Linked DNA regions of Oryctolagus cuniculus. The protein of the gene in region 1 interacts with the protein of each later gene in a biochemical or structural test. Links are inferred from orthologs where the notes say so. Each region holds a gene or a part of one and is shown in the gene's direction. Other genes may lie near its edges. The genes, in order: BIRC3 and RIPK2.

Region 1 (4,468 bases):
GCTAGCAAGCAAGTTGAGCAGCCAAGAATGGAACCAGCGCCCATATGGGATACAGACAGCGACTTAACCCACTGCGCCACAATGCCAACCACAAGATAAGTTCATTTTGCTGCCAAAAATTTTGAAACACATGCTTAGTTTTTTCACTATACATATTTTTCATAAACTTTGAAGACCCTTTCTACTATTAGCTTTCTGTATGGGAACTGGGCTGTCCAAGAACACAAGGCAGTAATGCATTCTGCAGTTATTAAAGATGACCAGACTTAGAGTTTAATGGATGATGCTGGGTGCCAAATGGCTATGGTGTTAAGAGTCCATCACATACATCTGAAAGTTCTATGTCAATTTTTATTTCAAAATATCAGTATTTATGCTTTGCAGTTCCTTTGCAACTATTATGTTTTGATGTTAAGTGAAAAATGGGTAAGGGAATGTAGAGTTTGCAAAATTCTTCTGGTGGGTACATGACTAGAAATGTATAAAGACCATGTTTTGCTTTTTTTTTTTTTTCAAAGATTTTATTTATTTGAAAGGCAGAGGTGACCCAGAGGTAGGCAGAGACATCTTCTACCTCCGTTGGTTCACTCCCCAAATGCCTCCAGTAGCCAAGGCTGGCCAGTCCACATCAGACACTAGGAACTTCACCTGGGTCTCTTGTGTGGGTGGCAGGGGCCTGGGCACTTGGGCCATCATCTGCTGCCTTCCCAGGCTCATCAGCAGGGAGCTGGATGGGAAGAAGAGGTGCCGACCTTGGAACCTGCAGCCTGGTATGGGATGCTCACACCCCAAGCAGCAGCGTGGCCTGGTTGGGCCGCAACCTCAGCCCTCTGCCTGCATGCCCCAGAATGAAGTCCTGAGTACCGCTGGTGGGCTCTGCCTTTGGTCGGTGACTACCGTTGTTCTACTGGAAAATGTTAAATTCAGATAGGCTCTCTTTGCCCATCTGGAGCCTTGGCCAGTGTTGCCCTTAGTTAAGAGCCTTCAGTGTGCTGCCTAGGGAACATGGAGGAAAACAGGGCCCTGTAGTTAGACACAGAGGCCTCAGGTTTCCATGCCAACCTCACTACAACTTAAAGGCCTCCCTTGTGAGACAAAAGGCTAAAAAAGAGGAATTTCTTCTTTCTAGCCAAGTCCACCCTACTTGTTAAAAACCCCACCCAAAGAAAAGAAGACAAAATGGAAAGCCTTTCAGTTTAGGAAATAGTCATTTCAATCTTTAGAACAGTAAAAAATAAACTGAAAAGGAAAGCTGCATGACTTTTTAACATACCCTACATTTCCTTTCAGCTCTATTATAATCAGAACTAAAAGTAAAACTAACAAACGATTTCACAAATTTTCAATGTATTTGTATTTTTTTTAAATACTGAACTTCTCGAGGCCCCTAGAGAAGGCTGGAAAGTCTGACCTTTTGCACCTGCCAAGTACATGCCATGGGAGGGTAGGGGTCAGGGTGAGGCTGACCACCATTCTGCACTGGTTATCAAGATTTCCTTCCACCCAGGAACAATGGAGCAAAGGTCTTGCAGTAAATACGTTAAGCAAGAGTCATCTTTCAGGGCCACGGAAATCCCCGACTGGGTTTGCCAGGCCACTGATTAAGGGGAAGTATGTGTGGTTATTACCGCTGGAATTCCCCTAGGTCCTAAAAGGAAAGCACCCGCGCTCATGCAAAAGTGCAAGAGCTGGTGGGGAAGCGGTGTGTCTGGCGGAGGCCTTTAAAGGCAGCCACAAGCGGGGCGGCAGGTGTCACTCGCGGGGACCCAGCTCGTCGGTGTTGGCGCGGTCGGCCTAGGCGACAGGCTGCAGTGAGTGTGCGTGTGCCTGTGTCTGTGTCTCTGTCTGTGTCTCTGTGCGCCCCTCCGCCCACGGCGCGGGGAAGAGAGGTGGCTCCGGGCGAGCGGCTGCCGAGCCTCTGCCCGCCCTGCCGCCCGCCCAGGGGTGCTGGCGCCGCAGCAGGATCCGGCGGGCTTCTCTCCTTCCTTCCTGTTCCATCCCACCTTCCTGCCGGCTGCAGTTTCTATTTCACTTAGGGGTGCACCAGTGGAAATGGTGAAGCTTTGACATCTCAGTTCGATTGCCGGGAAGTGTCACTGGGGCTTGGAGGGTTCCAGATATGCTTCAGGACAAAGCCCAAGCTGGAGCTGGACGCAGCAGTCTCAGTAAAATACTTAGGGAACCGGCAGAGGGATGCTCCTGAGCGGTGGTGGCACATGCACTTGCTTGGGGTCACCATGGAAACCCAAGGGGGCTCTTAAACCAATCAGTAAATTGTTGGAGGTGTTTTACTTAATGCCAAAAGAACAATTCTAGTAATTTTACATGTATTTTTCCTGTTTGATGATCACCATCTTAAGAAGCAGGTACTGTAATGTATTCTGCCTTTTGATACTGAGGCTCTTGTAGATTTACTTGTCTAAAGTCCTGCTCTTGCTTAGGGGAGACTGGTTGGTATTGGATAGCACAGACGTCTGGCCCCAGTGCCTGACACTAGGCTGAGCAGTCTTTATCATTAATGTAAAATTGATGTCCTCAACCCCAGGCAGATGAGGGCACAGCAGCCATGCAGAACTTTCCTCAGGTTAGCAAAAATGTTGGCTAAGTTTCCATCTGCAGCCCAAAGGTCAGGCTTTAGGTGGGATCCCAAGTCCTGTGGATGCTGTGGTTGGGGGGGGCTGGAGGGGAGCTGAGGCAAGTTCCTGTTCTGAAGGAGCCTGCAGTCCAGAGGAGGCAGAAGGGGAAAGTTCAGGTCCTCCATCCTCAGAGAAACGAGTTTGTTGAGTGCCCAAAAGCGTAGGGACTCCCAGTGGCCAGGAGTCAGGGATGCTGCCCACTGGAAATTCTGACCTAGGAAGAGAGAGGGCTGGGGACACAAGCTGCCCTGAGGGGGAACTGCCAGAAAGGAAAGAGGAATTCCAAGGGGGTGGTGTTGGAGCAGCTGGGCCCATTGCTAAGAGGAAGTGGGCCCCAGTGGCAGATGCAAAACTTCCCCTTGGTTCTGGCAGAAAAGCCTTGGTGCTGAGAGTAGTTGCCATGGTGCTGGTTGTACGGAGTAAATGAGAGACAAAACACGGACAAAATTAACCGTAGACACAGGTTCGGTTTGCTCACTGAAAAAGGCAGGTGAGACACAGGGCACTGGCTGCAATGGAAAGTGGATTTGTTTTAGTTTGTTTTCACTTGAAAGCTGAAACTTAAGCAAGATTGTTACAGGGAATGAAAAAGGCCAGTGGAGACTAACAGTTGAAAAAATGAGGGGAGAAGGGCTGAAAAGATTTCTGAGGCAGGAGGAGAGGATGGGGTCCCATGAAGAAGCAGCTGGGGTGGGGGGTTGTGAGCAAAAAGACATGGTTATGAGAGCGTGAGAAAACTGTTGCTCCTTGACATCCCTTTTCCTTGAGAAATAGAAAGCAAAACAGTGCTCGATCGTGGGATGGCAAGTAGTGAGGGAGAAAGCAGAGGAGGGTACTGAATGGTTAGAAAGGAGCTGGCAGAGGGCAGGTGGCTAGGGAGCTGCCAGGGCCCGGAGTGCTGGTCCCATTCTGTAGGGCGGTAGGTGGAATCCTGCAACATTTGGATGTCTTTGTGTTGGGAATGGGTAAGGCAGAGGTTGAATTGATCCAAAGGTAACGTCTTAGCCTATTTTTGTGTATTGGATGTTGCCTAAATTTCCACAAACATATGCTTTGTTTCCATACCAAATCTTCTTTTATAGCCTTTGAAATATATTTCATAAAACATCTATATAATTTATGCATAATATAAAACAAATAAAATCAATTTTAATAATATAAATATATGGTCTTTTAAATATAGGTATCAGAGCTTCTTTGAGATAGTCTTCATCTCCACAAAGAAATATGCTTCCCTCTCATTTTTCTCCAAATATGTGTCCCTCTTTGTCTACCTCTCATTTGGTTACTATTGATGAACATGAGAGTTGTAAGAATTTCATGTTTCTTATAATTCTATTGTAAGAAAAATAACAGTGCCAGGTGAATGACAAATAGTAACTGACGGTCTCTGTGTCAGGCAGTCAAAATACAGTGCCAAAGTGGAGAGCAGGTGCCCCGTCTGAAAGGTACGGCTGGTGCTCTGCTCTCTTGCTAGGATTGCCAAGCAGGGATACAGGGCTGAGCTGCCAGATTCTCATGTTTTGTTTTTATTTTTGTTTTTAAGAGAAGTTTTGAATCTAGAATGTCTTAGGAAATCTCTTACATTGAAAAATGCGGCAATTAACTTACTATAAGATTTGAAGATATTGTGGTCCAAAAAAAACCTGGTTTGGAAAATTGGCTTTCTATCAATGTTAATTTTCTGGTCTCTATAATTATACTATGGTTATAGAAGATGTTAACTTTGGGGAAGCTGAGTGCAGAGTATGTGAATAGTCTTTTTACAAGTTTTCTCTAAGAATAAATTAATTTTAACACAAAAAGTTAAAAAAATTAGTAAGATATTATAA
Region 2 (4,381 bases), on another chromosome or scaffold:
AGACCAAACAGTGTCATTCTAATCCCCATCCTTTATTCTTATGTAACCCCTTGGAAGACTTTTAGTATGTTAGTGCTCTCACCTCTTTTCAGGATGTGCTTTAACACAGGCCTTTTTTAGTTTGTGAGTTCTTTAAATGTGGATACTCCCGTCCTTCACTCCTAGAAAAGTTTTTTGAAGTACTACTTCGATCATTTCCTCCCCTTTTTGTTTGTTTTGTCATGTTTGTCTTTCTGGAATTCTTAGTTTCTTGACTGATTGGATGAATAAATGGAAAACTTTCCTGAGCATTTTTTGTAGCATAAAGCTTATTAAGCAATAAAGTACAGACTGTCAAACCACATCTTTAAAAACTATTATAAAATTATCAAAATTTTAAACACATTATTTGTTGAGAACTTCCCCCTATTGTAAAATGTAACGCTACTACTCTCATTTCAGGCAATTCAGAAATACAAGAATCATTAGTTCTCTGTAAGCAGAAATCCTTTACTCAAGTTAGGCATTCCTTATTACTGCTGCCCTAGAATTCGTTAAAGAACTAGTCTGGGTTACCAGTATATATGATATTGCACTCACCCTACAGAACAGTCATTTAGGGGGAAAGGTGTTTGTTGAGGGTAGAAAGGCTGGAAGATGTTTGCAGTCTTTTTTATTAAACACTGAGGGCATTCCGCTAAGATCTATAAGGAAGAAATCTTTGCAACAGTCCCTGGAGTTAGAGAGATGGACTCTCGGGGTTATTTAGGGAACTAAGAAGAGCGGGAGAAACCAGATCTCCAGTATTGGAACAAGTGGCAGCTAAGCACCTGCACTTGTTCCACTATAAAAGGGTCTATCATCCACTCCACACTCCTAATGTGGCTGTAAACTAGAGAGGATTGAAGTCCCGGTACACAGATGAACTCACAGCCCCAAACAGCCAGAAGCACTGGAAGACAACACGCCCCCTCCACCCACAACAGGGCCCTTCCCGCGCAGGCGCAGAGTCTGGAGCGCCCCTCCCCCGAGCCAAAATAAGCCCACCCTCCCAGCCCCCAACCCCGCACAGTGCTTCTGGTGTTCGACGACTCGCAGAATCCTCGGTGCGCGGGCCCGCTGCCCAAGCCTATCCTGGTCAGCTGGCCGCTGAGAGGGACTTTCCCAAAAGGAAAACTTTCCCAAAAGGAAAACTTTCCCAAAGCCGGATGGGGGATGGGGAGGAGGACTGAAGATAAAAGGGGCGCCCTGGCTGCCTGTCCAGTCCCTTGACCGGTAGCCTCAGCCCCTGGGTGTCGCACAGATCGTCGGGGACCGCGCGACGCGGGTGCAACACCCCGGCCGCAGGAGGCAGGGTCGCCAGCGAGCCGCCCGTCTCTTTCCTCAGCGCTGCCACTGACGTCGTCTGAGAAGCTGCTGAGGGAGGAGCCCCGACGGCCAGGCTGGGGCGGCGGCGGCGCGCGCGGGCCACGGCCAGGTCCGCCAGAGGAAGCTCCTCCTCGGCGCGACGCGGCGCCGCTGACTCGACCCACTGCACAGGAGACGAGGCCGCTCCGGCTCGAGCAAAGCCAGCGTCTGGCCTTGGCCGCCCTGGGAATGGCCGGCCTCGATACCTAGCGCCCGCGACAGGGAGGGCCTCGCCGGCTTCCCGCCTTCACGCTTGCATCTGGACGACTGAGGCTCCCTGAGAACCGCTGGCACACCCGAAACCGGCCGGCGGCCTGAGCGCCCGCGCCGCCCGTGACCATGAACGAGGACGCCATCTGCAGCGCCCTGCCCACCATCCCCTACCACAAACTCGCCGACCTGCGCTACCTGAGCCGCGGCGCCTCCGGCACGGTGTCGTCGGCCCGCCACGCCGACTGGCGCGTTCAGGTGGCGGTGAAGCATCTGCACATCCACACCCCGCTGCTCGACAGGTAGGGCGCCGGCGCCTCCACGCAAAGCCCGCAGCCCTGCTGCGTGCCCGCCCCCGACGCGGCGCAAGAGGGTTCTAGATCCAGAAGGGCAGTGAGCGCCTGGGGTCCGTCCCTGCCCTCGTCACCTCTAGGCAGTCTCCCTGGGGAGAACCGGCTTCTCCGGAGGTGCTAATGCGTTCCTCCATGGTTTCGTCTCTCTCCTCTCCTCTTACTCTCCCCAGGGTTTCCTCTCCCCATACTCCCAAAATCAGCATTTTCAGCCCAACTGTAAAAGCCCTGTTTCCTGTAGTGGATGTGGGTTTTGTTTCCTTTGTTTTTCTGCCCGAAATTGGGCTACGGGGCTGTCTAATAAGTAATTCTCATCCATCCACAGGTGGCTGTTAAACACTTTTAAGTGTGACCCCCTGTGAATTGAAGTGTGCTGTAAGATACACACTGGAATTCGAACACTTAGAAAATCAAGAACAAAAACCTTATGATTTATGTACCATTCATATTTCCATATTGGTTGAATGATGATAAAATTTTGACACATTGGGCTAAATATAATCTATTGTTAAAGTTCATTTCACATGTTCCTTTTTACTTGTTTTGTAATGTGGCTACTAGAAAATTTTTAATTGTATGCGTGGTTCACATTATATTTTCATTTGACAGTGCTGCTCTAGAGTTTGTGATGCTTGAGTTTTGGTTTTGCTGGTTTTGTTTTGTTTGTGGTTTATTAAGTGTAGTAATGAAAGTTCGAATATCAAACTCAACAACCAATTCAGTTTCTTCCTCTCTCATAGGAAAGACTGCCCCCAGAGGAAATGTGTATTATTTTTGCTAACAATAAATTGAACTAGAAGACTTGTAAGTGGCCAAAAATTATGAATCTCTCACATCGTGGAACATTTTTAGTGCAGTGTTCGAGTTTTAAAGGAAGGCAGCATTAATTTCTGTTTTGTTTCCAGAAAAACATTACAACCATATACTGCAGACTTGTAACTGATGTATTGGTTAGTGAGTCCAGTTACTATTCTGTGCATTTTCCTTTCAGCAAGGATATAACTAGGCCTCCTATTTACTTAGTTAACACCCAGGAGTGCAACTTTCTCTGTCCCCCCATCTCTAATTTGAAAATACATCATCTAATACATTTTGCAGTGTCCCTATCAGATAATTTCTCAGCTTCAATCCTGTCAAATTATTGGACTTTGGTCTGCCTCTGGCTTTTCTTTGCTGTCTCTCACAATCAAGCTGAAGTTAGCTAGATCCCAGAGGAGATTCCGGATTTCTCTAGAGATGCCTGCCACTTTTGCATTCAAGGTTCAGTAAAATACAGGATGTGGTGTCTTTACCCTGCACCTTTTATTCTATGCAGCAAGTGCTGAACTAGGGTGTGTGAAGTTTAAAGGATGGTGGTTGGTTAAAGTGGATGAATATATTTTAGAACTAACTGTGTAACTATAGCACTGATAGACTCACTGCACACCTTAAAGCTAGATGATCCTCCGATTTTGGATGCTACTTTCTCAAGATTTTAATTTATTTCAGCCTTATGACATTTAGGGGCCAATGAGTGAAGAAGGAGTTCCCTTCCCATACTCCTTTACACTTTTCCATACTCCTTTACACTTTTCATTGTCTAAATTGGGTAGAAAATGAGCCTCAAGGAACCATCCTACCAGTGGAACATTATGCATTACCATCTCATTCTTTTTACCCACCTGTAAACTAAAAGTGTTATGTAGATTTATGTAGTCTGGGTATAGGGCTAGGCCGTGCACTTGACTCACAGTGTGTCTGTGCATGTCCTTCTTGGGCTCTGGTATAGACAGTGTTTGCATTGTTCTTTGGGATCACCTGAAAGAAAAATAAATTCATGTGATGATGTTACATGCCCTTATTTTTGTGAATGGTGAGTCACCATCCATAACGTGACTTCTCTTCGTGTACCTCCCCCTTCCTCTTACGAGATTGATCGTTCAAATACCCTGTCTATGTCATAACTTTTTTGATTGAAATTATGTGTTGAGTGAGTTTGTTGATATGTTCATAGAAGATGTATTTCATACTTTAGGTTTTTTTAATGTAAAAGCCTATCTTTACAATCTTTTGGCTCTGTTTTCCCACTTAATCATGTCAGAATCTAAGAACCTTCCTACTTCTCTGATTAGAAAGAACTTAGGCCTTTATTGTCCCATGGTTGCAATTCAAATCTGACCAAAATTCTGCCACTTTCTGGTGTGGTCATTAGAAATTGTTTTTCGGGGGACTAGCAGTGTGGTGTAGTGGATAAAGCTGCCCCTTGTGAGGTTGGCTTCCTATATGGGTGCCAGTTTGTGTCCTGGCTGCTCTACTTCTGATCCAGCTCTGTGCTAATGGCCTGGGAAAAGCAGCAGAAGATGGCCCAAGTGTTTGGGCCCCTGAAACCCATGTGGGAGACCCAGATAAAGCTCCTGGCTCCTGACCTGGGCTTGGCCCAGTGCTGGCTGTTGATG

What was found.
Region 2: the proteins of BIRC3 (region 1) and RIPK2 form a complex in vitro, tested with the Homo sapiens proteins (2 studies listed by BioGRID, with this or other methods). The link is inferred for Oryctolagus cuniculus from reciprocal best matches to the Homo sapiens genes BIRC3 and RIPK2.

The regions. Positions count from the first base shown.
Region 1 is NC_091432.1:94,034,610-94,039,077, forward strand, and holds the start of BIRC3 (baculoviral IAP repeat-containing protein 3), read left to right. Parts: upstream 1-1,599; 5' UTR 1,600-1,811; exon of another isoform or gene 1,812-1,817; intron 1,818-4,468. UniProt on the Homo sapiens protein: Multi-functional protein which regulates not only caspases and apoptosis, but also modulates inflammatory signaling and immunity, mitogenic kinase signaling and cell proliferation, as well as cell invasion and metastasis.
Region 2 is NC_091437.1:114,996,616-115,000,996, forward strand, and holds the start of RIPK2 (receptor-interacting serine/threonine-protein kinase 2), read left to right. Parts: upstream 1-1,324; 5' UTR 1,325-1,725; coding exon 1,726-1,898; exon of another isoform or gene 1,899-1,930; intron 1,931-4,381.